4 linked regions of the Alligator mississippiensis genome follow. The protein of the gene in region 2 interacts with the protein of the main gene of each other region in a biochemical or structural test. Links are inferred from orthologs where the notes say so. Each region holds a gene or a part of one and is shown on either strand. Other genes may lie near its edges.

Region 1 (7,722 bases), on a different chromosome or scaffold from region 2:
AGCCTACCTGTGAAATACAATGCCTGCAAAGTATCTCTTACAAAACCAGGACACAGTTTAATACAGACTGCATTTAGCAATTCAGTTCTGGTTTAAATGGGATCATTGTAGAAAACCTCCAAAAAAATATCAGTCCTACAATAGATCTTCTAATTTTCCCTGAATGTCATAGAAAACTGTACATACTAAAGCAGGTGTTGTGCTTAGCTATATATGTGAGCTAGTAGCTAATCTAATTCATTAAAAAGTCCATAAACAAGTAAGTCTTTGTCCTAAAAAGATGAAAGAACTATGACTATAATGGGATGAAAGGTGTGCACAGTGATGAAGAAAGCTATTATGGATCTATGTCCTTTTTAAACTCGTCCTGGCATGCACTGTTGACAGGGGAACAAAACAGTACAGATAAACCTCTGAAAAGTGCCTTGTTGGTAATAATTCCACCTGCCTATATAAAACCACTGGATCTAGCCTACGCTTTGACTAATGACTGACCATGCTGGCAGAAATTAAACTAAATAATAATGAAATACTTTGGCAAGAACATTTTCATACTCTTTAAACTGATTACAAAAGCCGACATTTTTATGCAGTTCATAATTTTAATGTTATACTGTAACCTGTGTAATTTACATATAATAATCTTTATTGATATGTTCTTTTAGATTCATGGGATAGATGCATCCAAGAAAACAAATCTCAATTACAAATGTATTGACTAATTTCACTATGATTACACTGAGCTAACATGTTTGTGCAAAATAAGTTACTTTAGAGGCTAAACCATAATGTCTTTTACATAAAACTCCAGGGGCCTTCAAAGATGGCTTTTCCCCACATTATTGAGCTTGGAACTGGGTCCCCAGAGCTGCATTTATGAGATCTACCTCGAAACTAACTTCACAAAAACCAAAGGATATAATTGTTCACCTGGAGGTAAATCTCACTATCTGGAGTTGACTCTATTAAATATTCAGCCCTTTCAAAAAAAGAATCTACTTTTACAGTAGAAAATAAAAGTGCCAACTTTGTTTATTTCCTTTGTTTTCTGTATGTCCCCGCACTCTGGCCATACATTATATGTACACTGAGGTACAGCACAGCACAATATTAACACCATTTCTCTTATCTCTAAAGTCAAATATTTGCCCACCAGTGGTACTCCTGGCTGCACAAATATTGATTTTAAAATGTATCAATGCTAATTGGCTTACATACTGAAAAACTATTAGACAAGCATTATACTTCCAAATGGACTATATTAGCAGTCTGAAAAGACTACAGCCTTTGGGCCAATTGTAGAGTCCTACCAGTGAGGCTTATGGTATTTAATATGGAGATGCAATTCCACTGAAACTTGAGATCTCAGCATGCAGTGCTCCATCTCCAAGTATCACTTCAGGATTGGACTGAGGTTGGCTACTGTATATGATCACAGCTATTCACATATGTGTGTGTCATAAAGCCTATACAGCTACTGATACTTCTGCTTTAGCCCATAGTGCTAGGGGAAGGACAACTATTGCACAATGCCTGTTGCCACCATGAAGCTCCAAGTGATAACCAGGAAGTTCTAGGTGATGGCAGATTTATTACAGGATTTAAGATGAGGGCATCTGCCATCTGTACCATTTCATGCATCTCAGGTGCATCCTTCTCACTCCTTGCAAACGGCTCCTCATTTAGGCAAAGTTTGAGTCAACCCTGCTCTGGAATTATCATTCAGATTTTGACTTGAATTTGCAGGCACCCAATCTGTACATCTGGTGGTTTCAGAGCCGCACGTGATGAGGGCTAAAACTAGATACAGTGAACTGGGACCTATAATTATATATTTAAAATAGAATGCTTGTCCTGACAGCATTTTACTCAAATCCGGCTGAGTAAGTCCCAAAGGGTGTGCAATCTATAGCCAACGAATAGAGATCAGGAGGATATCAGCAAACTGCGGCATCCAATTAAAGCAGCTCAGTGAGCTGCATACAAAGCGTGGCAACTTTCATGTCATTTGCATAAACCCATCCACATGTGTGTGTGAAAGGAAGCACGTTAGCTTGCCTCAACTGGGGTCACTAGAAAGAGCTGCAGGAGTAAATAAGGATTTACCCTGGAATCCTTCTCAAGCCATTAAGAAAACAGACTCCAGCAGCCTGGCCCTCTCAATCTAGTTAAGGCTGCCTTGGCCACTCCACTAGGGTCTGTCCACTTAAGCGGCTCTGGTGGCATTGTGATCATCCACATGATTCCAAGCTCAGGGCTTTGAACTGTGTTGCAATCCAGGGTCTTTTGTTGGCTTCACGTCTTTCTTGGTGGTGCAAGAAGCCAGACAGAGCCACTAACAGGTCCTGTACAGGTCCACTCCCTCGTGGATTCTGCAAGGTAACTCATTCCGTGTGGAGGAGCAAGAGGGAAGAAGAAGGAGGGAGCATGGCAGCAGGCCAGATGAGATCTGATGGGGCACAGTAAAAGTCCTACTCATAGGACATAGGTTCTGAGTGAGCCCTTTCCAGCTGATTTCCAAACCTCCTGACACTTAAATTCACACTGCAACAAAGGCTGGATCTAGAGCCACTTACTTCCCCTGCCCTGCCCAAAGCCACCTGCCAGCAGGGCCATATGCGCCCCTTGTTGCTACCTGCCCCACCACAGCCTATTCTCTCCTGTCCCCACCAGAGGCTGTGGTGCCATTGGGTCCATCTCTTTGCTTTTGCCAGCAGAGAAACCAGCTTCCTTCCACCCCATCCCACTCCAGACACTTGCCCCAAACTCAGATCCTTTGCCCCAGGCTGTCCCAGACCTGTGCAGGCTGCCCCGGGCTGGGCTCGGACACTCACCCAGGTTCACGAAGCTCATGACCATGTCTGCCTCGGTGAGGAAGTTGCTGTCCTGCAGGCTGGCCAGGGGGGGGCCCTGGGTGCTGAAGATGGGCTTGTAAGGGTAGGAGAAGCCCTCTCCCTCCTCCCCCGCCGCCCCGGCCGCCTCCTCCACCGACATGGCATTGTAGAGATCCAGCATGAACATGGGGGCTGAGTTCTGCTTGCCGTGCAGATGGGGCCGGGGCCGGTGCGGCAAGCCCAGGATGGAGAGGATCTCCCGCTGCATCTCCCGGCGCTCCTGGCTCCGCAGCCGCCGGTGGATGAAGCTGGAGTGCACCTCATTGTCCAAGGTGAAGTCCGCCAGGATGCAGCGCAGCCACAAGCACGAGAGGACCAGCAGCCGGGAGGCAGGCTGCCCGGGCCACGCGGCGCGCATCTCTCCTGCACGGAGGGGAGATGAAGAGACCCACGGGGCTGCTGAGCAGGAATAAATACTTTACCATGAAAGACAGCTGGAGAGGGGGAAAGTGCCTGCCCCGCAAAGCTCTGATCACTTGGCTAGAGGGCAGCCCTGCAGCTCAGGCTTCAGCAAACTCATGATAAAAGTTTGCCTCTGGGGGGGGGAGGTGGTTTAGTTTGTAAAATCCATGAGATAAATAGCAAGGATCACTCCTGAGTGGTGCTTTCCACTCCCTTTCCCCTCTTTCTTTAGGGTCTGATTTCTTTCTCTCTCTCTCTCTCTCTCCCTCTTCACTTCTCACAAGTGTTTGAAATGCTGCTTTACAGACAGGCAGCAGGAGGTTGTATCTGGTGGGAGGAGCAGGCAGCACAACTCAACACCCTCCCTCGCTTGCTCTCTGCTCGCTCTCTCTCTCCAAACTGCTTAGAGAAGAAAATCCGTGTTACTGCCTAGAGGAGGAACATCTGATCAGGTTGCTTTTCAGGATGTTTATGGAGGCTTCTGGCTTAGAAGAAAGGGTGAGCCATTCCCAAGTAGTTAAATTAATGTAAACATGATTAAGGGGAAGGCAGTGCTGGGGGAGGGCTGTTTAGTGGAGGGGAGGGGGGGTATGCATATATAAAACAAAATAAACTAAGCAGTGCAGTGGGGCAGAGCCTGCCCAGAAGGCAAAAGACCAATACAGGCATGCATTTAAAATGTAATGATACCAGTAGGAAAGGTAGCCCAAGGTCGCTTGTACCCACAGGCGGTCGGGGGGGATGTGAGTGGAGAAGTGTTAAAGAAGGCCAGGAGGTTATGGGTTAATAGGTGAAAGTTTAAAACAATACAGGATACCAGTGACATGGCCCCGGACCCATCAGCTTGTGCGCACAGCTAGTGTTTGTCACAGTCTGTCTCCCTCTCATCTCCTCCCCTCTCTTTTCCTTCCATTGTTAGCTACACTCACTTGTTGCATCTTGTCCAGGATGGGGTTATCAGCCCTTTGGAGCAGGGGCTGTCTCTTACTAAGTGTCCCTACAATGTCTGGAAGAATAGAGCCCAATCCTGGCTGAGCCCTGCCAGCTCTACCATAACACAAAGGAGAAATAAATGACAGCATTCAGCAGTAATCTCTTGAGAGGAGAGGACCGGAAATAATTCAGACTATATGTTGATTTTTTGATTCAGCCCTGGCGGGAAGAGTGAAAGGAGAGGAGGGAAAAGAGGTTGTTTCCACTGCCTTGACATGCTCGTAGTCTTTGATGCTTCCTGATGAGCCTTGCCATGCCCAGAAGTCTGAACACCTGGTCCCACCTGCCTTCTGCACCCAGAAATGAATAGTTATTCATTTTTATTTATTTATTCAGTTTATACAATGCCAATTTATATGCTGCCCTTCCCAATAAAGGCTCAGGCTGGCTACAATAAAAGAACACTCCGCATTTATACAGACCAGTGTATCCTAAAAGTGTTGTGCAAACAGTGAGTAGCTTGTTATAAGAGCTGGGTGAAGGAGGCACTCTTTGCTTTTTAACAGAGGAGAAAGTGAGAGACAGAACTGGAGTGGTCCATTTTTAGACCACATTGAGAAAGGGGGAGAGTCCGTTAGGAGCCTAGCTGCCAGGCCCTTCCTCATTCTTCTGCTGCTTTTCAAAGGGGTGGCAAGAATCTTTTATAGCTCTAGAGAAGCACTGCCAGCCTGCCTGGGGGGCAGGAGAAGGACTGGAGGTGACAGGTGGTTTGCCCCGTCATCTCTTGCTGGCTCCCAATACAAACAGAAGCCATGATTTAAGGCTTCAGGTGTGTGTGTTGGAAGAGCCTTGTTCAATTCCCAGCTCTGCCACCAATCCCTTATGTGACATTAGCCTATCATTTAGCCTTTCTCTGCTTCCCATCTCTGTCCTAAAATGGGAATACTAGTATTTCCCTGGCTCATAGACTGGTAAGGCTACCTATATTTAAGTATTGTGAGTCACCCAGGTACTATGGTGATGCTATCCATAGAAGTGTCTAAGATAGTGGTAATACAGATATACCACCATGATATCCAGAAGGGGCCTTCTAGAGTCCCTTCACATGAATTAGCTGTGATTGCAACTGCATACAATAATAAAATACCAGCTTATTTTGTGTATCATCATTTGTACAAACCCTGGATTTGTTCCTAAGTGGTAATGCCAAAACATTTCTAAGAATTGCGGCCTTCGTGTTTGAAAACATATAACTGGCATGGATTTCAACACAAAAGGGTGTTTTGTTTCCTTGGTGCATTTGACAGTGATTGGGCCTAGTCTCTCCCCTCTGTCCGTTCCTCCTGCTGTTGCCTTATGTGCAGGCCTTTCACCCAACAAACCAGGGAGAAAAACATATTGAAATTAAAATACTATACAATAGATGAAGATTATAGAAATGGACAAGGAGCCTTAAGAGCAGGTATATTTCTAGAAACCATATATAGGGCAATTTTCAAGTTAACAACATCCCCTTAAAAAGCACTGCTTGTTTGGGGGAAAGGGAAGATACTCAGTTCTTCTGAACTGGAAGATTTGGGCTCTGGAAAAATCTTCAGGTAGCTGATTTCTGGGATTGATTGTGTCATTTTTTATGGGAGACAAATTTTGAGACTTCTTGGTTTGGCAGGTTCTTCTGGTTCTAGTTATGATTCTTCATTCCCTACTTAACTTCCCCCTAGCTTCAGTTGGTTAAGTTGCCTTGTGGGGGTTAAGATCAAGCAGTGTATTGTGTATCAGCTTAATAATTGTCCTTTCCCCAGGTGTAGTGAGTGACAGGGCCGTCTCTCACACTTGCATGGAAATGGATCCAATCTTTTAATAATCTTTTTCATTGCTATTTTGTATGGCTTTATTCTTTACTTCCTGGCCTAAACTGTGGACCAACATACCTGGTTTGACAGGCTCAGAATCAAGTAGAGAGAGGATATTGTGGGATCTGGCATAAGCAATAAACTTTTTATGAAAGGGGATTATTATAAGTATCAGAGAACCAAACTTTTTCTTTGAAGCTGCTGCAGGTAATTTCTCCACATGCTGTTCTACAAAAATGTCTGGCTTGTGATTGTTGAGACAGACTGCTAAATACAATCTGCTGAAATAGATACATGACAGATATGCCTAAGAGTGAGTTTGCCACTGTTATATACCAGGTGCCAGAGGCATTCTTTGTGAGTGAGGGTTGAGAACAGCAAAAAACCACTCTTGAAAAACCACTCATAGAGCAGTAGTTTTCAACCTTTTTTCATTTTCAGATCCCTAAAAAAATTTTAATGGCAGTGCGGTATGGTAAGTGTGGGTATTCACACATTTCTGATTGATCATAGTCATCTTTCCTGGACCCCTTAGATGTAGTCTGCAGACCCCCAGGGGTCCGCAGAACACAGGTTGAAAACCACTGTCTTAGAGAATTGATTTCTCAATTACATGTTGACTTCAGTGAGGCTGTTGGGTGCAACCAAGAGTATGTCCCAGTATGTCCCACTGTGTGCAATATAGCATGATGGAGTGAGATGGGGTCAACATTTAGCTGCGAACATGGATTTTACACATACATGCTGCAATTAGAGGATATTGTCTATGCCATAATTTCTGATTCTAATGTTTCTTCCATCATATTTTGCATACTGCTTGACCTCATTTATTGGTGCTCTCAGGGTCAGCTCCCAAGTACTGTAGACAAATTGCTGAAAATATTGGCAACCCCATGTCATCACCCTCTTTCTCTTCTCTCCCAGGTCAATTAAGAAACCAGTTTTTCCTCTTAACTGCCATCCGCTGCTCCTCCTCCTCCTCCTCCTCCTGCTCCCTGTCAGAGAAGGAGAGTTGAGTGCTGATGATGAAGCAATACCTGGATGTTGGCTGTGGCTGTTTCAGATGATTTCTTTAAAAAAATAACTGAGTGCTTCTATTTTCATCTTTTGGGTATCTTAGTATTTTGCATGTGTATGATTTGTATATTAGCTATTATTTGTGTTTATGTAGAAATACATGCACTGTTGCTGGATGGAAGTGACTAGTTTAGAAATAAAGGGCCCACTTCTAAAACAAATAAAGTACACACAATTTGTGTGCAATTGCATGTGCCTAATTTGTATGCATTGTTGTCATGGTCATGCATCCAAATTGCCAGATGCATACCAGTGGCTCATTCAGGTCATCAGTATGCAAGATTAACCTAAATGAAGTAAATGTATGTTCAGGTTACACAAATGGTTTCATGCTTAACTTAAAGATTGGACCCAAAGCATCCTGTCTTCCTTCTTTTATTCTGAATAACGTTAAAGCTATTTATTCTTCTTCCTCCTAATTGTTACCTTTGTGGCTTTCATACTTTCTCTTTTCACGCCTATCTGATGTATACAACCAATCCCTCAGAGTATCCTTCCTTTGTCTCTCCAAGTGCTGCACTAAAATGCATGCATCTGGGGAATCTTTTCAGTAATGATTGCAT
Region 2 (8,291 bases):
GTTGGCAGGGGAGAGGTGGCAGCAGCCACAGGGCCAGATGAAATGCTCCATGGGATGGATTTTTAGCCTGCAGGCTAGAGGTTGAACATCACTATTGTAGACAATGAAAAAGCTACTTTTTTATCCAAGGATGTTACAGTTGCTGCTATTATTGTCATGGAGACAGTCACTTATTTTTTATTTATATTTTTGGACTTGTATTTAAAGATTTCTGAACAGTAAACTTTCTTATGTGATGAAGTATTTATATGGCCCAATTCTGAGTGCTTTCAATTTTCACTGAAATCAACTGGAATTGAGTGTGCCAGAAATTTACAAGGAGAGGACCCTGGTGCATTAAAGCCTGAAGAAGATGTCATGGCTGCCTGCCGACTTCTCTGGCTGCTAGAAGTGGCTTGGGCAGCCAGCCAGCTGCTATACCCAGAAGAGAAGTGAGTCTCTGGACTTCAATTTGGGAAACCTTGACTTAAATAATTCTGGTTTACTATAGTATCACATATTGTTTTATCTGTCCATTTCACAGTCATTGTGCTAATTCAAAGGTCAAAGCATACAATCTACTCCCTCCTTTTCCCTCCCGCCTAATGAGAGTGTGTCAGGGTTTTATATTTTTTAAATAAAGTATTAACATGTTACACATATACTCAGGCAGGCATACAGATGTGCAACATATGGCATAATATGGAAACAAGAGTTACAAGATGGGAAGTTTGATCTTGGAACTGTGGAATTGTGCAGAAGATACTTCAGTAATTATGTCCTGAGCAATAACTTGCAGTCCCAAACATAGTCTATAAGCAAGAACTTTGATTTCATAGCCCCTTTTGATGTTAAAATATTTTAGTAAGACTTTTTAATTAGCTGATTTAATAGATGTTAAGTAAGGAGGTGATCAGTATTTTTACTAAACCAAAGAACATTTGACAAAGTGTGCATCATAACTGTCATTTCTCCAAGCAGGGAAGTTATACTAACTGGCTCGTGCCATGCATCTTTATTTTCTGCTCACTGTGAACTGACAGCTGGTCTAAACAGCAAAATGCACTGTTTCAGATAACTTTGCTATGGCAGTACTCCAAATCTGTTTTGCAGATAGAAGGCAGGGTAGGGTGGCTAAAGAACACATTTTGGTGTTCATTTCAGTATGGTTAAAAGAAGCAAATACAACTTGGTATTGACTGTTAAAGATGGGATGAAACCATGTTTTAGAATCATTAAGACAGCCATGAAACATGTTTTGTAACATTGTAATAGAGCATGGTCCTGCCCTACAAAAGAAAAACCAGAGCGTATTATGATGATTTTTTTTTAATTCACAGCAGAATTAAATTCTACTTTGCTAGCAAAGCAAGATAAAAGCAACATCCCCATTTCGGAGCTGAGAATAAATGAATAAATTGGCTGTACAGCCTTACTTCCTATTATGAAGTAAGTAAGGCTACAGAAGAACAAGCATATTTGTATGAAATGTGCAAGTCTCAGGGCCTTGGCAGATGTTATGCTTAGGATGTGATGAACCTGTTAATCAAGTCATAAATAGTAACCCTTCAGGGAATGAATAGCATGTTCAGGGAATTAATAGCATGACAAAACAAGAAACCCGCTACAAAAATGTTATACAAAATATGTTTCCATCCTACCTTAAATTGAAAGTGTAGCAGGGTAGCCCTGCTTTGCAACCTAAAGCTGGCTGCATGGTGGGGCCTTGTTAACTGCGATGTGGCATAGTACTCCATGGTCCTGCACCTTGTGAATTTAGACCAGGAGCCATCAGCCTGTTAGCTGGGTGGTACAGCCCTACACCGGTTTTCAGGGAGCCCATCCACTAAGCCAGCATGGTGCTTGCCTTGCTCAACTCCTGATAGGGGTTCAGATGCCATCACGCCATTATTTTAAAATCTTCCAGGCACCTCAAAACATTTACCTCTTCAGTTGAAAGAATGGGAAAAATACTATCATTAGCTTCTGCAAAAATGATTATTATGTTGACATTTGTAAGCATGGGCTAAAAAGGAAGAGATTCCACAATATTTTTGTCCCCTATGGAAGGTTTATTCATATGTGATTACTAAGGATCCTAGCTTTTTGTTCACCATAGAAAAATGCAGAATCCACCTCTTTCTGTAACTTACCGAAAAGCATGGAGGCATTCTACAGTGAGCAAGATGCAAATACTGCAGCAAAAATAAGAAAGCAGGAATGGTGGCACAATCCGTGGGATGTCGCTGCATTTTTAGTAGGTTGCAAAAAACCACAGATTTTTGTGGGGGGGGTTTAAACAGTTTTTTTTGCTTTTTTCTCATGGAAAACTAGGATCCCTGGTGATTACTGGAAACTCCTACACTAACATACACAGTATCTGAAGGAACTGAAGGAGGATCAGTGTGGACCTCAACACTCTGAGGTCATGGAGGTGAGAGCATGCTGAGAACTTTGCCATGAGTCTAGAACATGTTTGTGGTTTTGTCTGTTTACCCTAGCAGTGATAGAAGATTTAGATAATTGCTATCTGCTGCTGGTATAGCTGACCACCCCAAACAATGCCTTGTCAAATATACTTCTGCTTCATAATAACATTGCCAGTGTTAGCTGAGAATTTGAGTGTTTTTATAAGTGTTGTTATAATGAGGTCTGTTATAATTGGGAGTCAGTGAATGATGTCTGAAGTAATCCCCTCAGAAAAGACTAGTCAGAAAATCTAATGAGGGGAAAAAAAACCCTGTCATCCTCCTTTCTTATAGCTCAAATTGGTAATGAATAGTGTCTGTGGCTGCTGATTCATAGCAGTTCTGCAGGTCAAACCAATTGGTCTCCTTTCCTAAGGAGATTAGTCCTATATTTTCAGCGGATAAGCGTCATAAATGTTCACCAAAAAAAAAAAATTTAAAAAAAAGGTAAGGGGAGGGGCTTGCACAATTTCATTAGGACTATTATATTTAACCTATTTCAATGCAAAATCCTTGATTTTTACCTGCCAGTTGTCATGCAGACATCTAATTACCTATATAGCTCAAGGAGAACCAACTCTCACAGTGCTACATTGCAGTATATCGTTCTCCCTCTTCTCAGTCTCGAGTATTTCCCTTTATGTCAGTCTTTCCTCTTAGTTCCTTTCTGTATCTTCCTACATCTCTTTTTCCATTCCATGTCTATTCTCCCCCCCCCATCTTTTTTCTTCCTCTCTCTCTGTTTTCTCTTCTCTCTCTTCTCCCTGATTAAAGTCTCCCATGCTTTTTGCAGCATGGAAGAGTTTTTCATGTATTGCCTATAATGGCATATCTGCTCCACTCCTTTTGGTCATTGCCTTGCTTCCTTTGTGTCCAGTGTGTGGGCGGATGGGAAAACTGAGGAGTATGCCAATAGGAGTGAGTGAAGTACCTCCACTGATGTGGGGACTGCAGGTTTGTGAGAGATGATCTAGTTGTTTGGCTAGCAAAGTCAATGCCACATTTTAAAATTTGAGATGTATATGGGGTAATCATGAACACAGAATCACAAAAGTGAGTTGGAGAACACGAATTAGCTTTTTTTGCAAGATTTCCAGCTTTCCTTGCATTAATTTCAGCATTTCTGGTTCCAACTACAGTCCCGAAGCGCAAAGGTTCATGTAAAAGAGAAAACAAACAAATCAACTGTTTCAGGAACGTAGAGACAGGTTCAGCCCTGGAAATGGGTGACAGGTCAGGTGCAGGAGGTTCTTTTTGTTTTTCAAAACTGGTTTGCCCACTCATGTGTCTGTTTGTATGCGTGTGTGTTTCAGAAAGTAACAGCAATATTGAAAGAATACCACTTTGCATGTAATGATCACTTACTGGACCACAACACTTCCCTACTCAGTCACAAATGATGCGGGCGTTTGGCAGTGCTGCCATCAGCGTTCCCTGCTGCTGTCATGTCTCACTCATTGCACACACTATGGTTTTATTAAAAAAATTGCCATTACTTTTGGAAACACCCATGTGTATGCAGATCCCATAATATTGAGGCAGTTTGTTTCTCTCCTGCAAATGACAAAATATTTTGGCTAAATGGAAAGAAAAATCAAATGAGTCTCTGTTTTTCAGGAGGACTATAACAGCACATGTGACTTTAAAGGGAAATAAATTACTGTTGTTTGTTGCTGCTGCTGCTATTATTATTGCTCTTTGTAATCTCTCCCTGTCTGACATACCATTTCTGTTCTTGCTTTTGGCCTTCACTCCATTGCAGTGTCTCAAAGGCTAAATGGAACTTTTGACAGCATTAGTCATTTTCCTAAATGGGTAATAGAAAAAAATGGGATAGTAAAAAAAAAACTTAGAAGGCTTTGTCATGTTATACAGTCGCACTGTGGGTTCTTGGCCTCTAGGTGTTATTTCAGTCCAAATAACAGTAAGGCATTACAGCAGAGAGGAGGCAGTATATACTCTGACAGTGGGTGCACCTTACATACTATGCATTTAATTTAGTACTTCCTTAATAAAGTACTGACTAAATGCGCAGTACCTGAAGTTATGCACAGTAGCACCTGTGTGCTGTTATTTACTGATGCTTGCTGTGCATTAGTCTAATACGGCACAATAGGCTATGAGCATGGTTTTTTGCTGACATGCTAGCATGCAGTGTTTATTAGGCTAATGCACAGTAAGCATCTTGTAGAGGCAGTGCTGTGGTGCCAAACTTGGTTGCTCAGGGCAAAGCCCGCAGCAGCAGCAGCTCTTCCTGCGCGCAGATCCAGCGGGCACATGCCTGCCCCACCCCCAAGAGCCACTCTGCCTCCATCCCAGCCCGACTGGGCAGCGCCTGCTGGTGCCCCTTCGCTTTGGTCGCCCTGCTCATCGCCCCTCTTGCTGCGGCACTGTGCGGCTGCACCCAGGGGTTCTCAACCTTTGTAGACGGTAGGCACCCCCCAGCCCTAAGCTTGCACTCCTTTTTTGAACTGCAGGAAAGTAACAGAGCAGTTCCTCGGTTGCAAATCGCTCAGGAAGCCCGTAACAAGGTAGGCGGCTTTTTCACACCTTGGATTTAACTTGTGAATCACGTTTGCGCGCCTAACCGCACTCACCCCGGCAAGGACCCGAGTGCCGGAGCCCTGCTGCCCTGCACTTTGCAGCCCAGGCAGGCGGCTGACCTCCCGGGTTAGCGGGCTGGTGTTTGCAGCCCCCCCCCGTGCCGCTGCCGGGGGGTCTCGGCTCTTCCCCGGCGCAGGCGGCCCCTTTTGCTCCACCTCTCCTCGAGGCTCTCGGGCTGGGGGACCTGGGCTGAGGCTTTGCTGCGGCAGCTTGGGAATGGGTTGGCGGCGGCGCTGGCGGCTCGCTTGCTGAGCGGCAGCGGGGGCGAAGCGGGGGTTTGTTTTTCAGCATCCCCCTCTCTCCCCCACAGCGGACACGGGGCCGGGGAAGCTCATGGATGCGCGGCGAGTCGCCTGCGCGCAGGAGGCGGCGCTGGGCCCTGGCATGGCTTAGCGGCAGCAGCACTCAACTGGTGGAGCTGCTGGGCTGCGCTGGGAGGAGGTGAAGCCCGGGACTTTCTGGCTCCGGCTCAGTCGGCGGCAGGAGAAGAGAGGCGGCGCGGCCGGGCCGGGGGTGAGCGCGGGGCCGGGCCCGGGGCGCGCGTGCTGCGGCGGAAGCCGGGACGTTTCTCCGCACTGAGTGGGGGGGCGACGCGGCGGGTCCTGGCGGGGCTCTGCAGGGAGCGGGGCCGGGGCCCGTGCGGGGCACAGAGGAGCCGAGGGCTGGGATGGAGAGAGGGAGGGAGCCCCGGCGCGTCCCCACCCCGGGCACCGCCCCTGCCCGAACCCCCTCGCACCTGTCCTGGCCCCTGCGCGCGGGGTCGGCGGGGCCGGGGGCATGCGGCGCCTTGCAGCGAGCAACTCCCCTCATCTGCGATCAGGCCGGCACTTAGGGGTGAATTTGAGCCGCTTCCTGGACCCTCCCGCAGCCACCCTAAACTGCCCTTCTTCAAATCAAGCCCCGATGCATAGTGTATGCCTTAATTTTGCTCCCGACACAGGTGGACTCTAAGAGCCTACTTGCCCTTCATTATTTAGAAAGAAAGGGACCGTCTGGAATAACATCCCGTGCCCTTTGAGCCTCCACAGGCTTGCTCCCGTGCTGTTCCTGCTGCATTTTGCACCATTCAGTGTTTTCGGGGGTCACACTGTTGTCTGTTAATTTTGCTTTTAAAAAGTATCCTTCTCCTTCTTTAGAAACATTTGCTATAGAGATGTTGAGCGAGGGCACTGGATTGTAGCTGCTAGTGCTTTTCTTCAGGTTGATTGTAAAATTATTCAAAGCAACTGCTTGCTTTTTTTTTAGTCTGTCCATATAGTGGGGTTGTTTTGACAGGTAAAGTGCACTTAATTTTCTGAAAAGTAACTTTTCCACGACTTTAGACATGCTCTAGTACAAATAGTTCTTATAACTTTTTTTTAAGTGTAACTTAATCCTAGAAAATTTGATACAGTGTGTTATTTGTCTAATTTGATAAGCTGTTTAGACCTTTCTTTGTGGTCACCTGTTACATGATGATATCATCTCATTACTCATGTGTCAAAAGCTGTTGATGAATTCTTAATGACATTAAAATGTGCGTTTAAATCAAAATGTCATTTTGCCCATATCAGCCAGGAGAATTGTGACTTTATGGAAAAAGTAGTTTTTCTCTGTCTTTTTAGGCAGTGCTCTCCTGTTTGTTTACCAGTACACTTTCTCTTTCTCCTCCCTTCCTCCCTGCCTCTCACCTCATACACCCTCAGCCAGTCTACCAGTGGATTCATAGTTTACAATAGTAGATTTTGTTGAATTCCTGGTGGGGAAAAAGGCCTATTCATAGGTTGCAGCTAATCAACTTAAAAGCCTGATGAAATGGATCATAAATTAGTATAATCTTTTTGTCATTAGTATTGTATAATGCAGTTAGTGTTATGTGGTTTACTATAATTGTATTTAGAATTTATTATTAAAACCTTTGTAGTTGTTTTAAAACAAGGAATCCTGCTTTCTCCATTCTTTTAACTCCATTGACCTCAGTCAGTCATGCTCCTCCTGATTCTCATCTGTGGAAGCCATGGGCATATCAGGAATTTACGGTTTGACTTCTGGGTTGCTCCTTCCAACACTTGTAGTTCCCCGCTAGATGTGCTTGGAGTTCCTTGCGTGGGACAGTAAGTACATCATACAATGGACTGAGTGTTTTGGCTCGAAGCCAGGGAAGTGTATGCCCAACTTTAAGAACAGGAACAGATAAAGTTCAGTGTAATTGGTTTATTTGTATAATTAGTTAAGCATCTGCTTAGGTGTTGTACTGGGTTGGGGCCAGAATGCTCCTATTCCATATTCACTCAGCTGAGAGAAATTTAGGCCTTGGCTTGCAAGTTGCTACATTTCTACATGTGAGTAGTTACTTTGAGTTCAGAGGGGGCTATTTACAAGCAACTTGCTATAAAGTATGCATGCGATGTTTGCATAAGTTGCATGCAAAGTAGTCACCAGATTTGAGCATGTTTCATACCTGGCTGCGAGTGTGAGAATCTTGTTTTACCACATGTCCATAAAATACGCCTCCTATATTTGTGACTGTGGAAAGAGCATCTGAAATGTAGTTTTCTTTGGCTATAATATGGACTGCTGACAGAAATGAATGATAGTGATCTAATAGTAACACATTTAGAGCTGAGTCTGAAACACATTGACCTCCTAATACAGTAGCTCCTTTTTATATAGATAAGCTACTATGTTTGTATTGTCTGAAATAACTTAAATATTTTGGCCCTGATAAGCAAAACTCTGACACAACTGTCTGGAAGCCATTGCGTAGTTAAGCCAGTCTAGATTTCACATGTGCAACCTTATTTCTCTCCTAGCGTGAGTTCCAAAGCACTCTTGGCCCTGACGAGAAGCACTGTACTCTTTCTACTAGATAGCTCTCTGGTTGTATGAGGAGAAATATACCAAAAGATGAAAGAGTTTAAGATTTTTACAAAGGAATTAGGTGCCCCGCTCTCAATATCCTCTCATATCTCCCTTATACATACAAGTCTTGTATCCACTGTCTTAGTTCTCCTGAACTCAGGTGAGATGCAATAGGTTTACGTACTGGAGCTGTTGTAAACTATGTTCTATTTTTTTTTAAATAAGAAAACGCTGTTAATGGAAACAAGACTTTTTGAAAAATAATAAACACTGGGGCATGTTTACTTCTGATCTTTCATGCATTTCTGTTTGAAATTACATTAGTTCATTAAGTTATTTAGAAATGTCTATGGGATAATCAATTACTCTTCGTAATCTATTTAAGGCCCCCCCCCCTTT
Region 3 (7,503 bases), on a different chromosome or scaffold from region 2:
TTAGTCCATGGACACACATATTTAATAAAACAATGAGTACCGAAAGGCAAATAAAAAAAAAAAAATGCACCTAAGAAAAGACAAATCTCCTCTGCATGTATTTAGTAAATTGGTAACAAAGTAAAATGGATACATTAGACCATTCATGGTGACTAGTTTGTCACAGAAGCGTAAGGCTGGAGTTATTATACTATCCTAATGCAGTTAAACCCTATTGAACTTTTAAAAGGTTTCAACAAGAAGAGAGGTGGATACAGCTCTCCACAAGATAGCAGCATTTGGGTGAGATTAGAAAACAGCTACTTGAGATTTTTAAAGCAGTAAGTGACTTTACACACACGTGTTTGTGTGTGTGTGTGTGTAGATTATCTAATTTCAAGACAAAAAAAGAGTTTGGGTGTATGCAGTTTCACACTTCTTTATAACATGCGCTCAGCATCTTACTTAAAATGACAGTATTGATCGGCTCAGGTGAACATGTGAGACAGGGGAGGGCTGTGACAAGGCTTTTATCAGACCAGTTTTGCCCCTTAGAGCTGCGTTAAATCTAGCCTTGTTTCAGAACTCAGGACAAGAAAGTCATTATGGAAACAATACAATCAATTGTGGAATTGATCTCTCACGGGGATTAGAAACCTTTCCTCAAGGACCCTCTTACAGATCAACTGTAAGTAAGCAAGGGAGACTTTCTGGTATTTAGCCTTATAAATAAAAAAAGAAAACTAATCTGTGGGAATTCTTAATTTGGGCCCAATCTGTTAGAAAATTAAAAAAAAAAAAATAAGAAAAATCGACAGGTCTCACATCAGATGAAAAAGGGAGGGAAAGTGGAGGGGGCAGGGGTAAGAAAAAGCAGGGGGAGGAGAAAAAAAAATAAAAAAAGATTTGAGCCCCAAGTGCATCAGAACATAAAATTCAGAGTCGTTTAATCAGGGCTTTTAAAAACACACACACACACACACACACACCTGACTACAAGCACTGCTGGGAAGTTCAACACAACCTATTTTATTAGCAGCCGAGCTTATTAACTCCTTGGAAAGACTTTGTCCCTGATACTCCTCCCCCCCCCCCCCTGTTTTTTAAGCCTCCAAAGCTGATCACATCCATACCAAAAAAAAGGGACCCCCCTACACACACATTCCCTCTCACACCCCTTAATCCCCCTATGCACACAACCAACAAACACTCCCTTTCACACCCCTGTCTACACATGCACACCCTACAGACCCTGAACACACTCCCTGACACCCCTACACACATGCTCTCTCTGACACCTATGTACACACTCTTCCTCACAGCCCCTACACACACACCCACACCCTCCTACCCAAACCCCTTACCCACACCCTAGACAGATCCTCAAATCCCCTACACACCCTGTACACACAAGCACTCCCTCACACCCACTACAGCCCCCCCCACACACACACTCCCTCACCTACAAACATGCATTAGTCTCCCTAGTCTTCCACACACACCCCATACACACATGCCCAAGCCCCTCTACACCCTACACACACACTGACACCCCTAACCACAAACATACACACCCTACAGCCCCCTACACACACTGTCCCTCTCACAATCCCTACATACACACACACCCTACTGTCTCCTCTACACACACACTCTCTCCCACAGCCCCCAAACCCCCCTACACTTTACAACTCCCAAACACCACCACCCCCCCCCACACACACACACACACGGAGCCCCCTGAAGCTGCCCCCGCGGCCGCTCCGCTCCGCTCACCGTCGTGGTGGAAGCTGCGCACCGTGTTGGCGCGGCTGGCGGCGCGCTCGAGCCGGGCGCCCAGCTGGTGGCCGGCGTGCAGGCGGTACAGCTCCCGCATGTAGGGCGGCACGACGGCGCCGCGGCTAGGGCTCGGCCGCCGCTTCAGCCCGAACATGTGCAGCAGGCGCAGCTCGAACTCGCTCAGCACGTCCTCCGACGGCTGCGGGGCCGCCCGGCCCGCCCGCCGCCGGCCCACCTCCGGCATCAGCCCGGCCGAGCCGCCCAGCGCCACCTGGCACAGCAGCAGCGCCAGCAGCGACCGGGTTGCGGCCACCATGGTCGCCCTGCAAGGCACACACGAGGGGGAAAGGGGGGTCAGCAGGGCGCGGCAGCAGGTGCCAGATCCCCCCCCGGGCCCGATCCCGCACCTAAGACCCCCCGCCCACCCCCTCTCCATCCCGCACCAAACATGCACCCGCCTCCCCGGGCCCGATCCCAATCCCAATCCCATCCTAAAGACCTCCCCCCCCCCACGCACCCACTTCCCCTGCCCCGATCCCACCCCCTCCATGCACCTTCCCCCCCAACCCCTCCCGGGCCCGATCCCGCACCAAAGTGCCCCCCCGGGGGCAGACACCCCCTGCCCACAGCAGCAGCAGCAGCAGCAGCGCTGGGGCTGATCCGAAGCGAGTCCGGATTGCGGGGGGCCGGCCGCGGCCGGAGCGCGCAGGGGCAGACGGGCCCCAGCAGGTGCGCCCAGCCCTACCTTTAGGAGCCCGCCGACGGCCTAGGCAGCTGCGGCGGCGGCGGCACTCGGGGGCATGTCCGCGAGCGGCACATGTGCGGCGCCCCGGGGTGGCCTCGCCGGGTCTGTGTGCGCGAGTCCTCCTAGGCGCGGAGCCAAGCCGGCGGGCTGCCCTCCGCCCGCGCCGCGCCGGGGCCGCTGGCCCGCGCTGCTCCTGCCGGGCGGCTCCTACGTCCTCCGCGGCAGCCCATGGCCGCGGCCGGCACTCATGCTGAGCGGGAGGCTGCGGCTGAGCCCCGCATCCCCGGCGCCTCCCGCCGCTGCAGCCGCTGCCCCCGGCCCGCCGGCGCAGCCCGCCTCGGAGACATGCCCGGCTCGCGGGGGACTGCTTCCCCGCCGGGGGCCGGCCAGGGGCAGGGCTGGGGTTTCCTCCTCTCGAAAGCCGCGATCAACAAGTGGCTGCTGCCGTGGCCGCCGCTTCCTCCTGCCGCGGGGGTGTGGCAGCCTGCGGGCAGATGCTCCTCCTGGCTGCCCGCGGCGCGGAGCCCGTCTCGTGCGCCGCCGCGGCCCCTCGCTGCGTGTGCCTGTGCGCCCGCCCCGGCCCGGCCCGGCTCCTGCTGCCCCTGCCTCTGCCAAGCGCCGGAGGTGCCTCCTTGGCTTTTTGTGGCGCTGCTGATGTCACGACCCCGGGGGCTTGCGGGCCCGCGCCAATCACAGGCGGCTGCGGGAGAGCCAGCGATTGCAGCACCGCCGCCGCCGCCTCCTCCTCCTGCCTCCCGCCCGCCCTCCTTCCCGCCCTCCCTGCCCCTGCGCTTCTGCTCCCCGCCGGCCGAGCTGGGCACCGGCCCGTTAGGCTGCGGCCGGGGAGCCTCTCTGGTGGCCGCGCTCCCCCGGGGCATGTGTGGGTGGAAGGGTGTTGCTGCCCCTGAGCTTGCAAAGCAGAGTTTTATTTTTTTCCCCAACGATTGGGTTGGGCTAATAAAAGAGATCGCGTTTACCCAGAGAACCGTGTCTACCGGGGGATGGATACCCCGGGAAGGGGTGGGCTCCAAACCAGGCACTAGCTTGGATCCTCACTGACAAGAATACCAGGGAGCATTTACCCCCCAAAATCTTGTCTACCCAGGGGATGTGGATACCCAGGGGGCTCCAAGCCGGGCACTACCAAGAATACCAGGGAGCATTTACCCCAAAAATCTTATCTGTCCAGGGAATATGGATACCCAGGGTGCTTTTGCTTGGATCCTCACTAGCTAAAATATCATGGAGCATTTACCCCCAAAATCTTGTCTACCCTGGGGATGTGGATGGGGGGAGTGTGCTACAAGCTGGGCACTACCTTGGATCCTCACTGGCAAGAAACCAGGAAGCATTTACCCCAAAAGTCTTATCTGCCCAGGGGATGTGGATACCCAGGGTACTCCATGCTGGGCACTACCAAGAATTCCATGGAGCATTTACCCCAGAAACTTGCCTACCCAGGGAATGTAGATTGGGGGGGGGGGGGGCACTAGCTTGAATCCTCCATGGTATTCTTGCTAAGTAGAGGGTCCAAGCTAGTGCCCTCCCAGTCCTTTCATTTCCATTTTTGTAGTCATCTAATATATTTTGCTGCGTTAGCAACACCCACAACCCTCTACAACCATATCTTGGTAGTTTCAACCTGGTCCCTGGAGGAGACAGGCTCCGAATCGGGGCTTGAACCTGACCTCTGGTGTTATCAACCCAGAGCTGATCCTTGCTGCGGCAAAGGTGGCGCTATGTGAGGGGTGGGGCAGGGCTAGCTTAAGGCATAGCAAGCTAGGCACATGCCTAAGGCCCTCAGTGAAGAAGGGGGGCCAGTTGTACTTATTTTACATATTCTAATTATTGAGTGAAACAAAAGGAATATAAATCTACAGGATTAAGTAGGGGCCTATGAATTTGCCTAGGGCCCACTAAAGGGTTAATCCACCCTTGAAGGGGGGATCCCTCAATGGTTAATGGGTGGGAGGGGCATTGCTCAATGGTCACTGCAGCCCCGGCTAGTCCCTAAAGGTGCAAAGTAGGATCTTCCGGCTGCGCCTTAGAAGCTGTCACCTCGGGGACACGTCCCAGAAGAGACTCATAGGGCAGAGGAGCCGGGGGCCCATCCTGCCCGGGGTTCCCAGGTTTAGCCGCAGGCATCTCTGTGGGAGCGGGGAGGACTGGGTTAGCCAGAACCTGAGCGCCTACAAGTGGCGAGGTAGAGGAAAGTCAGCTGAGAGCCAAGGTGAACAATGAGCCATTATAGCATCTGTCTGTCAGGGAAGAGCGAAATAAATGGAGGGGCAGGCGGGGCTTAAAACAAATTGGATTAAGCTTCGTGCAGTGGGATTTCAGTGTTTGCTGACTTTTAAGGTGTGAAGGTCAAATAATGTATTGGGAGAGTCAGAGTGTTAAAATAAGGTGGTAGTAGTAGTAGTAGCTGTGTGTGTGTGTGTGTGTGTGTGTGTGTGTGTGTTTTATATATGCATCTGTGTTTGTGTGTGGTTTACACATCTGCATGTATGTGTATTTGTGTGTATTTATAGTGTGTTTGTTTTTACATATATGCATGTGTGTGTTATGTGTGTATGTGCATGTTTATGTGTGTGAATGTGTGTGTTATGTGTGTATGTTATATATATAGGCATGGATGTATGTGTGGGTATGTGTGTTTATATACGTAAGTTATATATATATATGCATATGTGTGTGTGTTTATATACATGTGTATTTAGATGTGTTTATGTGTGTGTGTGTTTATATATGCATGTATGTATATATGGGTATAAGTATATATGTATGTGTATGTATGTATATGCATGCATATCTATATATATATGCATATATATGTATGTATATATACGTATATGTCCCAATGATGAGCTAGGGAAGAGGCGTCAGAGGCGGGCAAGAGAAAACAGTACTCAGCATGCCAGTGCAAGCTCAACTGATTTGTATGTGCAACTTGCTGGAGGTTCTGCTTGTTGCGCATCAGACTCAGCCACTCAGGAAGCTGTGGCAGTATCCAGTAACCCACCAAAGGCGCAATCTCCACAGTCTCTCAAGACCGATGGTTGCAAAAGATGATATGTGTGGATGTGTACGTATATATGTGTGTGTTTATATACATGTATATGTATGCATGTAATACGTGAGTATGTATGTGTGTCTATATGTATGTGTATCTGTATATATGTATATACGTATCTATACACACACATACATGTGAAAACCCAGGCATATGATATTTGGGAAGATGAGCACAAACCATGCCAAGAGAATGCTGCAAGAGGACAGATTCTCAGCCAGCCTATATGGGTTACCTACTGATCTGGTCCAATGACTTCGAGCGTTTAGAAACAGCAAGAGGGAGGCTGATTTCAGTGCCCGCTGTCTATAGCTAAAACCCCTGGCTCAACGTATACCTCCTCATGTCTCTAGCAAAGATCAGCTGGGATTTGAATTCTGCATGGGTTAACAGAAAGCTGGGTTTCTCTCCCTATTTTTTTTCCTTTTTCTACCTGTTGAATGGGAAGAGAATTCAGTGAAAAAACAAAACCGGCTACCACTGTGATACCAAGGAAAGCTGGCCTGAGTTCCCCTCCGCATATCAGAAAGGAGCAAGGCAGGTAGCCCCTGCATTGGTATGGAACAGATTTCATCCACCTCAAATATCATTCTGGAGTAGGTGTTCAGTATGCCTTTTTCTTTCAGTAGCCACAGCTCCAAAGATGCACCTCCAAAGGGGCACCTGGATGTTCATCTCTGTAGCAAAGACAGCCCTGTGGAATGCACCCATCTTTATAACCCAATGTTTTCTGTCCCCAGGAAACTGGGCCCCGAGGCCTGGCAGAAACATCAGGCTCAGGGTGAAAGAACCTTCCCCACTCCTCCTGATAGCTGGAGAGACAGGACAGGAGAGAAGAGGAATTCCCTCTGCCTAAAAGTTTGCCTCTCAGAACCTGCCAATCTCAAAAGTAGTAGTTGTTTTCTCCCTTTGTAGGAAACGTGTTCAGGTCCCCAAGAGGCTGCTTCAGAGAGCAGTATTTGAATGCATTTGGCTTTCTGGGGGCAGCCTGGGAAGTCTAGGCTTGCTGTGCTGATTCCTGTATGTTTTTTAGATCTGGCTGCCCTCCAGTGGTGGAAATGTGTCAGCACTCCTGCCTGGACCTGGGAATCCCTTTTCAAAAGCCTCTTCTCATTAGCCTTGCTTTTGGGGCTGCCCCATATAAGGCAGCAAGAGCAGAGTGCCCATTTACCTGCGGAGAGCCCAGGTAACTCAGCTCTACTCTCAGGGCTTCACCTTCCATGGGGTGTTGAAGTATGATGCTCTGGATGTCTTTGCCATGTCAGTTCATACTGAACAGACCTGAAGCTTTGAAGGAGCTCCCCTTATTGTGCTTGGACCTAACCTGTGGCCAGGTGAATAGACTTTCACCAAGATCATAGAATCTTAGGGTTGGAAGGCCCTTCAAGGGTCATGTAGTTCAACCCTTTGCACTGATGCAGGGTTATTCCTACACCAAGGTGATATATACTACAGACCTATAGAAAAGATCTATGATATAGGGAGGGAAGGTTCTTTGAGTAGATGTGATATCTTTTATTAGACCAAAATGATATAGGGTGAATTCACTGAGGCTCAGGAGTTCCAGCTTCAGTTCCTACCTCTACCACAGACTCCCTCTGTGACCATGGGCAAGTCACTTCATCTCTCTACGCCTTGATTCTCTGTATAGTGGAGATATTAATACGTCTTTTTTTTTCCTGCCTGTTGCCTGCCTTCTTTGGGTGGTGACTGCTTTAGGACTGACACTGCCCTCATGCTTGTATCCAGCACCTATCACAGTGGAACCCTACTCATTAATACAATAGAAACAAGTATGATAATAATTAGGAACACAGCAGAGACCTCTCCAGACCTGATAGCAGGCTATCACTTAAAATGCCCAGTAGCTCCACTTGCATTGCTTTTCCTCCTCCGAGTACCATTCTGGGGGTCCCTGTGCTAAAAC
Region 4 (8,573 bases), on a different chromosome or scaffold from region 2:
GTGCAAAAAACTCCTACTCCCTGAACCCTTATGTCAATTTTATTGTTGAGGTTTGAGTGTCAGTAATAAGTAGGGAACCAGGTTTTCTGTTTCCCATGGAAAAACAGAGCAAAACCTGTATTTTCCCCTTTACTAGAGGAAACCACAGATTTATCATTTTACTGGAGAAAGTCAAGGATTTTGCAGTTTTGCAAAGAGCTCTCTGCAGGCTGGCAGAGTTCCAGCTTTCAAGGAGCTGGGGGAAAGTAGGAGGAGGGCAGTCAGGCAGGGGGCACCATGTGCATGTATACACACATGGCCACCAGGCAGCCTGGAAAACAGCTCCCTCAAGTAAGTGGGGAGCAGGTGGGATTGAGGCCCCCATAAGGAGGGAGTTGGGCAGGGCTGGGGCTGCTGCCCAGATGGGCAGCACATGGGGCTTGGGACCTGGGGCCGCAATGTGCAGCTGCAGGGTCCTGGGGGGGGAGTGGAACAGAGCCGTGGGTGACTCGTCTGGTGGGCACGGGGTGGGACTAACTCCCCGCTGCTGTGCACACTCCCAGGGGGCAGGGGGAACCCATGCCCCCCAGATCTGTGCGCAGGATAGGGGCACAGGCTGCCCACTGTAGGCTTGGGCTCCTACCCTGCTGCCCTCCCCTGGGGCCTCCACAGCCTGGTGGCTGCAACCTGGTGCTGCAGGGAAGAGCAGGAAAGCTACTTGCAGTTGTGAGCCCTAGCAAGGTGTCCCCTGTGTGGATGGTGGCATGGGGTTGTGCCCTCACTGCTGCCACGCACGCAGGGGATGCCTCACTAGGGCTGCGCAGAGCTCACAGCTGCAAGCAGCTTTCCTGCACGGCCCCACGCTGCCCTGCAGAGCTGGGTCGCACCCACTGGGATGCAGAGACCCCAGGGGAGGGCAGCAGGGTGGGGAGCCTGTGCCTGCCTCCACCCCGCACACAGATGTGGGGGCATGGGTCCCCTCTGCCCCCCCCCCCCCAGGAGCACACAGCAGTGGGGAGCTGGACCCCACTCCCACCCAAGCCTGTAGCAGCCTACACATAACTTGGGTTCTGTGCTCTGCTCTGCTGCAGCAGGTGCCACCTCCTCCTGGAGGCAGGGGGCTGTGGACTTGGGTCTCTGGCCCCGTAGCCCTGGCAGCTGGGGGCCCCCTCCAGCAGGGCCAGAGGGGAGGGAGTGAGGGGCTTAAGCAGGGCCAAAGGGGGTGGGGGGGGAAGGCGTGTGAGGGTCCTTTCATTTTAATCACGGATTTTGGGTTTTTTACCAGAGAATTTATGATTTTTATCAGAGAAACCTAGGATCCCTAGTAATAAGAAACATGACTAAACAAGGGTATTAGTATGTTATTAGCATCTACTCCTCCACAGCAACCAGACTGTTTGTAATTAAATCCCATTTGAGTTTCCCTTCTAAAGTGGATCAGTGACCACCTTGGCACTGCTGGGGCAGTGGTCTAGAGGTCCCATCCAGTTCATGAGAAAATTCATGCTGATTTCACTGAAAACAGCATTAGGCTCATTGCCCAACTTGAGTAAGGTTAACATCTGACCCCTGTGAGTGCTTACCTGACCAATAAGAAGAGGAATGGAACTTCATTTTTTCTTGGTGGGATATGTGCATGCACTATACTAGCTCATTCTCCACAAACAGAAGAATTGTGCCACAGAGTCTCAGGTAATGGCTATGCTGAAGTCACAGAAGCTATTTAGCCTAATTAGCTGGTTCTGAATTTCTTTAGTTAGGTTGCTAACAGGAGCCATGCTAGCTCAGGTGTCTTTATACTACTTTAAGTACTTTTGTGACTGCAGTTTAGACATACCCTCAGCTCTCCCCTTATTACATATAAGGCTGCTGTTTTTATATAGAAAGTCTTTTTTTGATACACTGAAAAGCAAAGAAATCATCACTGTCTTTAGCACATCTTATGCCTGTGGAACTGTTTAATATATAATAAAATGCAAGTTTATCAACTATTGTAATTTAATTATGTAAAAGCTTAAGGGATGGATCTCTAAAGTATTTATACACTTAAAGTTAAAGATAAGAACCTTGCTGGATTTTCAGAAGTACCAAGATTTATTAGTCCCATTGGAAGTCAGGTACCTAGTAGGTAAACAGTAGTGAGATTTTCAGAAGCACTTATCCGCCTATTTAGACACCTAAAACCTTTGAAAATCTGCCCCTAAATGCATTGGTTGATAAGTATACAAACATCCACATCTGTTTCCAGGTGAATTTTATACGATTTTAAACTGAAAAGACAAAATTGCCTCTGAGTTATGTAAATCTGATTACATTTAAATCAGTCAAGCTATTTGCCTTTAATACATTACCATTATTTTGTAAGTAACTTTATGGATATACAAATGCATACACACAGCTGTGTGAACACTTATGCATTTCTTTCATTAATACACATATACTTACACCTTAGCTTCTTTCTTACCTTGTCCTTTATCTATAAAGCTTGTTATTGTATTGGCGAGTCCAGCCTCCAATTTTACACTTCCATTAACATCTTTTCTCTCTGCATCTGAGAGAGTCCTGTACAGGGAAAGCATGTATTCATGAGGTGTGATAGGGGGGTGTCTGAAAGTCTCTTTAGATTCCCTTTGTGTTAGAGGCTCTTTAGTCTTCTTGGTTTTGTAAGAACTGGCATCAGTATTGCGGGTGCCAGTTTTTTTAAGTGAGGCCTTGCTGCCAACATTCTGAATCTTTGGAGTCACTGTCCTTACTCCAGATGGTCTGTTAGGGGAATGTCCTACCTTTGTGTCTGTAGTCCCTGCTCTAGAGAGAATCTTCTTTGGTTCATCCTTCTTAGACAGGAGAGCTCCAGCTTGAACAGTATTGCTTTTACTTCTAGCCTTTGATGTCCCAGCACTGTATCCATGGGTTCCAGTCCTAAAGGTACCTGCCCTTGATAAGGGATTCCTTTCTTTTCCTTCTGCTTTTAGCAATCCTAATTTGGATCCAGGATTACTCTGACCTGCTTCAGAATTACTCAACACTACAGAAACTAAATCCAGATATAACCAAGTCAAATGCCAAAGCAATAAAGTGAGAAAGTGCAAGATTTTCATCCTCTGGTCTTCCTTTGAATGCCACTAAAGAAAAAATCAGAAAAGGTTCCTCCAGTTTGGCAGAAGAAAACATGAAAAAAATTTAAAAAAACTGTCAGGAGAAATAGCTGTCTTTTAAGTTTAAAACACTTTAAATCTGTTTCTCTAATATCTGTATCCAGTCCCATAGTGGAAATGCACATTTAGTCAGGTATGTTTCTCCCCTGGCTTCAGTTAGCAACTAAAAAGAACTTGTTCTTGAAAAGTGAAAGTGTACCTCCCCTTTTCTTCTGTAAAACTGACTGAAAACTTGAAGGAGTCTTGTTTAAATCTAAGGGGCTTTTTTTCCAAAAAGGAAGAATGGCGTAATGCTGCCTCTGTGCTAAAAGTTTTTTTTTTACGTTTTGAATCCTTTCCAGTGAAAATATTTCACACAGAAACCTGCAGGTGCTCAGAAATCTTTTACAAACCTGAACTCAGGAATTGGAAACGGAATTCTAACAAAAACCTATTTAATTACTCTCTGATGTCATGCTGTCTAAACTAATTTAACTGCAATATATTTCTTTAAAAAATCTTCTTTACCCTTTCCATTAGCATGAGTCATACCTTGCCTCATGTGAAACAACTCTGTAGGATCAACACTCCAGAGGATGCCATTTAGTGGCAATACGACCTCTACCTTAGCCTTAGATGAACTTCATATTCAAACAGGACAAATTGTAAGATCAACAGTATGAATCTTTTACAGAGTCCCTTGGAATAAATACATTAAAACATCTTATGATTCATAAGAGATGTTTAAAACCATTCTGAGTTGGAATCTTTTCCTAAGAATTGGAATAGTGACTTCACTTTGCCTTTTGGCGATGGAAGGACTTTGCCAACAAAGGTAATTTTTAAAACAAGGATAAAGTTTAATTTCATACATATACAACACATACATTCATACTAGTTTTAGGGGCATTAATTGCTATGCTGTTCAAAAGTAAAGCTAATTCCAGTTTGGTGCAAATATTTGAACAAATAAACTGAAGCTCCATTAAATACAGAGGGAATGTTTCCTTTTGCTTTTGTCTCACAGACGGCATCCCCGTGCCTCTTTAGCTTGCCCCAGCTGTGTAATATATTTCCTGAAACAGAACCTATCAAACAAATTCTTCCAGTGTTAAGCAGCAGTGTCCCCTGCAGGAGAACTAGAGTTCTGTCAAGCTAAAGCACTGAGGGAGCCAGAGAGACCAGATTCTAAAATCCAAATTTCATATTTTAAATGATTTAATATAAATGTGTTCTTTTTATTTAAAAAGTTTTAAAGGTTTAAAACCATCGCTTTAAAGGTTTTAAAGATTCATGTACACAATACAACCCCACAGAAATAGCATGTGATGTATTTGTTGATGCTTACAAATGAAAATTATCCTACATGTTAAAGTCCACAGGCAATTAAATATAAAAGATAATGCAAACAAGATAGAGCAAACAAATCTCTCCCGTAAGCTACAGAAAATTAACTCTTATTTTTCTAACTGAACCCTCGGAATGCAGGGACAGGCTCGGATCAATTAAAAATCGATTGGACCCCTCACCCTTCCCAGACTGAAGCTGAACTCAGTCTCAAAAAACTTAATTTCAACTGTTCCTGAGGCTAAGAAGTGCCATCATTTTTGGATATTTTTGTTTTATTTTTCACACATACCTGTACTTTCAGCTTGGAACTAGGACCAGGAACAGAAATCCTGAAATACCCTAGCAAATAATGTCCTGCCAATATTAGCTCTTTCAAACTGAGGGTCTCAGAGCACTTTGCAAATGGAAGTACCATTATCTGCACAGATTATGAATCTGAGCCTCAGGAAAAGGTTCAGTGACTTGCATTGTCATATTGAAGGTAGCTTTTCCAAACCACTTGGCATTGGCTTAATTTTACTCCCAATTACAGTTTTATTATTGGTTTCACCAGGAACATAGTCTCACAAGTTAGTAAAAGGATCTGGATTGGAGTTCACTTGAACAGAAGCATAGACCTCTGGCAGCTCAAATGGAAGCTCTGTATATCAAAGCAGAAATGCTAGTTTTCTAAAGAAAAGTAAAGACAATGTAAAGACAATATTTATATAGTTACACATTTAATTAATTTGAAAGGGCTCCCTTGGTTCTTGGATATAGCACACAATTCACAACAGAAAATTAATATTGCCAAAAAATGGCAAAATACTAAATGAATCCAGTCACTCCCCACTCCTCACCTACTTTCATCTGGCAGCGAATGTTTTACCTACTCAACAGAGAGAAAAAGAGCAAAATATCTAGGGGCAAAGGAACAAAAGGGCTTATAAGTGCCTTCTGAAGAGAGTCTCATTTGACTAGCTTGGAGATTCTACTGTCACTACATAGTTGTCCCCCTACAATCCCCAGACCATGTGTCTTACTGCTTCCTGGATGAGATTCCTGACTTCTGGCACACTGTCATCTATGGACCATTGGCTAGACATTGGCTCCTAGGCATTTGGTCTAACTGAACTTTGACTAATGCTTTGGTCTCTAAGCATTGTGCCCCTTAATGGCTACCTTTGACCTTTGTTCTGTGGCCTGCAGCTCCAGAATCATGCTCCCAGGTCCGTTTTACACTACCAGCAGCTGCCCTGTTTGATTAAGAACATGTCAGAAATGTCAGCACATCAGCTTTTACAACACTAAAAAAAGTATCCCTTCAGCCCCCTCCCTACAATCCATCACCCTACTTGTCTGAAGACCCCTATGTAAACTCTCTGAATGAAAGACTGGAACAATATTCATTGCTGAACCTACAGGAACTGAAGTATAGCCTTTTTCTAGTGAACTAGGACCCAAATAAGTCTGCCCTTCCAAATCTCCAATATGAAGAGCCAACATGCAGGGATTCCAGGTCACAAGAGCAGATGGACAGTGTAATGCATCCAGTGTCTGCTAATACTTGAACTAAAACATCAGCAATCTAGGAAACGGAAGGTAGCAGCCTAAATGTCTAACAGGGTCTGCTGTCCTCAGAACCAACACCCTCAAAACTTGGATCTGGAAGAGACTCTCGCTGAAACCTGGCCTAGAATAGCTACCATCCTATGTTTAAACTACAGAGCATCCAGAAAGACTGGGCTGAGAATTAGCCAGAAAGAAAGGCAACATTGCCTTCAGGGGACTGCAAAATGTTTAGAGGGAACAGACACAAATAGACACTGGTTCTTGAGTAGTGAGGTAGTGGCCCTGAATATTGGTGGGGAGGGTGTTAGTCTGTCAAAGGGTGGCAGGCCACTTAAGGAGAGTTGGGTGTAGCCTCATCTGTCTGTGATCAGCTACATCCTTGCTGAGACTGCCTCCATTGGCTGAACTGGGAGGAGTTGAGGAGGAATGCTGGAGCCAGGGTTGCCAGCTGTCTGTAAAAAAAGTCAGGCTATAAATGCCTGCCTCTCAAGTCTATAAATAAATATGAGCCATCTCTAAAAACACAAAGCTACCACAAGTCTGCTTGACTAAAGCTCCCCCTTGGAAAGAAGCTGGACAGCGAGAGCTTGACTGAAAGACTGACAGGGTAGAGCAATGCCTCCTGTTATCTGAGTGGTAGCATAGCACCCTGCAGGAAGCCAGTTGTCAGGGTTGTGTAGATCACACCGCCGGCCCCCCACCTCTAGCCACATGCTGCTGCCACTGTGTCTCATCCTGTAATGCTACTGGGTTGCAGGTAGGCTTCATTGTGGGCCTGTGCCAGCACAGGGAAAGCAGGACCACCAGGGATAAGATGGGGGGGGAGGGGTAGGCTGGGGGAAGCAGCATTATGCAGGGTGTGTGGGTGGAGGTAGCATGGTATAAACCATTGGTTTAATCAAGCAGTGTTGCCAACCCAAGATTTTTTTTTACTAGAAACTTTTCACTGACAACCAAACTTTATTTTTTTTTTTACTAAGGTTGGTGTTAAACCCTAAATTTGAACCCAGCTCTTCTAACTGAAGTTTTGTAAGCAAGGTAGGGCGTAGTAGAAGAGTTACATTTACATTACACAAAATATGTCAGTGAAAACGTGACAGTAAAAAAGTTTCGTCAGTAAAAAGTTTGCAAATTGTCACTAAAAATGTTCTTGGGTTAGCAATATTTACTGGGAGTAAAATGGCTTTTGTGGAAGGCCCTAGAGCAGGCAGCTTCTCAGGTATGTGGCTGGCAATGTGGCCCACTTATGGCTGAATTGTTTTGTTGCTTGAATGAAAAATTAAGCCTGTAAAAAAATACTTGATCCAAGAAAGATGTGGTGTCAGTCTCTTTAAGGCAAGTGGTATAGACCAGCAGCTTAAAATGACAGCAGGAGTCAGGACTGGGTGAATATTTGTTATGGCTGAGGGCAGGCATAATGGCAATATAAATTATGCTCCCCCTGAAATATCTGTGAACACATGGGGAAGAATGGGCTAGCAGAGAAAAAGATCAAGAATTGGTGGCTCATGACCCCTACCTGACCCCTGGCACCCCCTCCCCACCAATCCAAGCTTTCACCTCCCTGTGACCCAACATTCAGAGGATATGGACATTGTTGAGCCACATATCTATGCCCTCTGTGCTCAGGGTGAATAGCAGGAACTCCCAATTGGCAAACATTTCCTGGTGGTGGACCTCACCTTTCTGAAAGATTTTTGAGTGAGGCAGCCATTTCAGATGAACAGCTGTGCCAGCAACAATTATGGTTACAGTTTTTATCTGTACACAGAGAATGCTGTTCTTTGATGAAGAGATCAAGATGGTCCTATTGATAATGTCAGAGTGAAGTTCCCCGGGGGGCAGACTCCTGATGTCAAAGGCCCTCTTTTTGGTCCTTCTATAGTTTCCCCACCAGTCTGTAATAACAAGGTCCCACCCACTCTGTGAGAGCAGGGGCACTTGTAACCTTGCTGGCTTGATCTCCATATCCAGCTCTGTTGTTCTAATGAGCACTTGGGAGTTTTAAAAACTTCTTCTGTAGTAACATATTCCCAGAGAGGGCTAAGGTGTTCATTTTAGCAAAATCATTGTAACTCATTTTCTTCTGTGTTCTTCTTAGATTCTTGTAAGTGTAAGACTATTTCTGCATGTCAGGGGTGTCAAAGATATGGCCCACAGGTTGGATCTGAGGCACAGAGCTGTGTCACCTGGTTCGAAGGGCTCCCCAAACAGCTGAAAATTTAGCAGCAGGATGATCCGTGACAGTGTTAATTGCCACAGCTCACCCCACCACCAAATATTTGGCCTCATAGAGAGACCCATGGGCTGCATCTAAAGTGCAGAGCTATGTTATCTGGCTTGCGGAACTGCCCACAGAGCTGAAAATTTCTTGGTGGGAGAAGTGACAGCTGCCACAGAGAGACTCTTGATGAGCAACAGGAGAATTAAGCGGAGCTCCACAACCAGCTAATTATGAAAGAAGATTAAAGGAGCTAGGATAAATTCATGGCAGGGACACAGAAAAGAGAGTTCTGGCTGTTCAGGTAGAGGGTGTGATATATGGAGTTATGCTTGCTC

Evidence for each region.
Region 1: the proteins of BMPR1B (region 2) and BMP7 form a complex in vitro, tested with the Homo sapiens proteins (2 studies listed by BioGRID). The link is inferred for Alligator mississippiensis from reciprocal best matches to the Homo sapiens genes BMPR1B and BMP7.
Region 3: the proteins of BMPR1B (region 2) and BMP2 form a complex in vitro, tested with the Homo sapiens proteins (3 studies listed by BioGRID and IntAct, with this or other methods). The link is inferred for Alligator mississippiensis from reciprocal best matches to the Homo sapiens genes BMPR1B and BMP2.
Region 4: the proteins of BMPR1B (region 2) and GDF5 interact in a biophysical measurement, tested with the Homo sapiens proteins (3 studies listed by BioGRID and IntAct, with this or other methods). The link is inferred for Alligator mississippiensis from reciprocal best matches to the Homo sapiens genes BMPR1B and GDF5.

What each region holds. Positions count from the first base shown.
Region 1 is NC_081832.1:9,428,344-9,436,065, reverse strand, and holds the start of BMP7 (bone morphogenetic protein 7), read right to left. Parts: upstream 3,559-7,722; 5' UTR 3,253-3,558; coding exon 2,835-3,252; intron 1-2,834. UniProt on the Homo sapiens protein: Growth factor of the TGF-beta superfamily that plays important role in various biological processes, including embryogenesis, hematopoiesis, neurogenesis and skeletal morphogenesis.
Region 2 is NC_081825.1:157,017,891-157,026,181, forward strand, and holds the start of BMPR1B (bone morphogenetic protein receptor type-1B), read left to right. Parts: upstream 1-4,733; 5' UTR 4,734-4,877; intron 4,878-4,887; exon of another isoform or gene 4,888-4,978; intron 4,979-5,203; exon of another isoform or gene 5,204-5,564; intron 5,565-8,291. UniProt on the Homo sapiens protein: On ligand binding, forms a receptor complex consisting of two type II and two type I transmembrane serine/threonine kinases.
Region 3 is NC_081824.1:225,999,022-226,006,524, forward strand, and holds the start of BMP2 (bone morphogenetic protein 2), read right to left. Parts: upstream 3,149-7,503; 5' UTR 2,504-3,148; intron 2,082-2,503; 5' UTR 2,075-2,081; coding exon 1,756-2,074; intron 1-1,755. UniProt on the Homo sapiens protein: Growth factor of the TGF-beta superfamily that plays essential roles in many developmental processes, including cardiogenesis, neurogenesis, and osteogenesis. Induces cartilage and bone formation.
Region 4 is NC_081832.1:37,890,768-37,899,340, reverse strand, and holds the start of GDF5 (growth/differentiation factor 5), read right to left. Parts: upstream 3,352-8,573; 5' UTR 3,078-3,351; coding exon 2,444-3,077; intron 1-2,443. UniProt on the Homo sapiens protein: Growth factor involved in bone and cartilage formation. During cartilage development regulates differentiation of chondrogenic tissue through two pathways.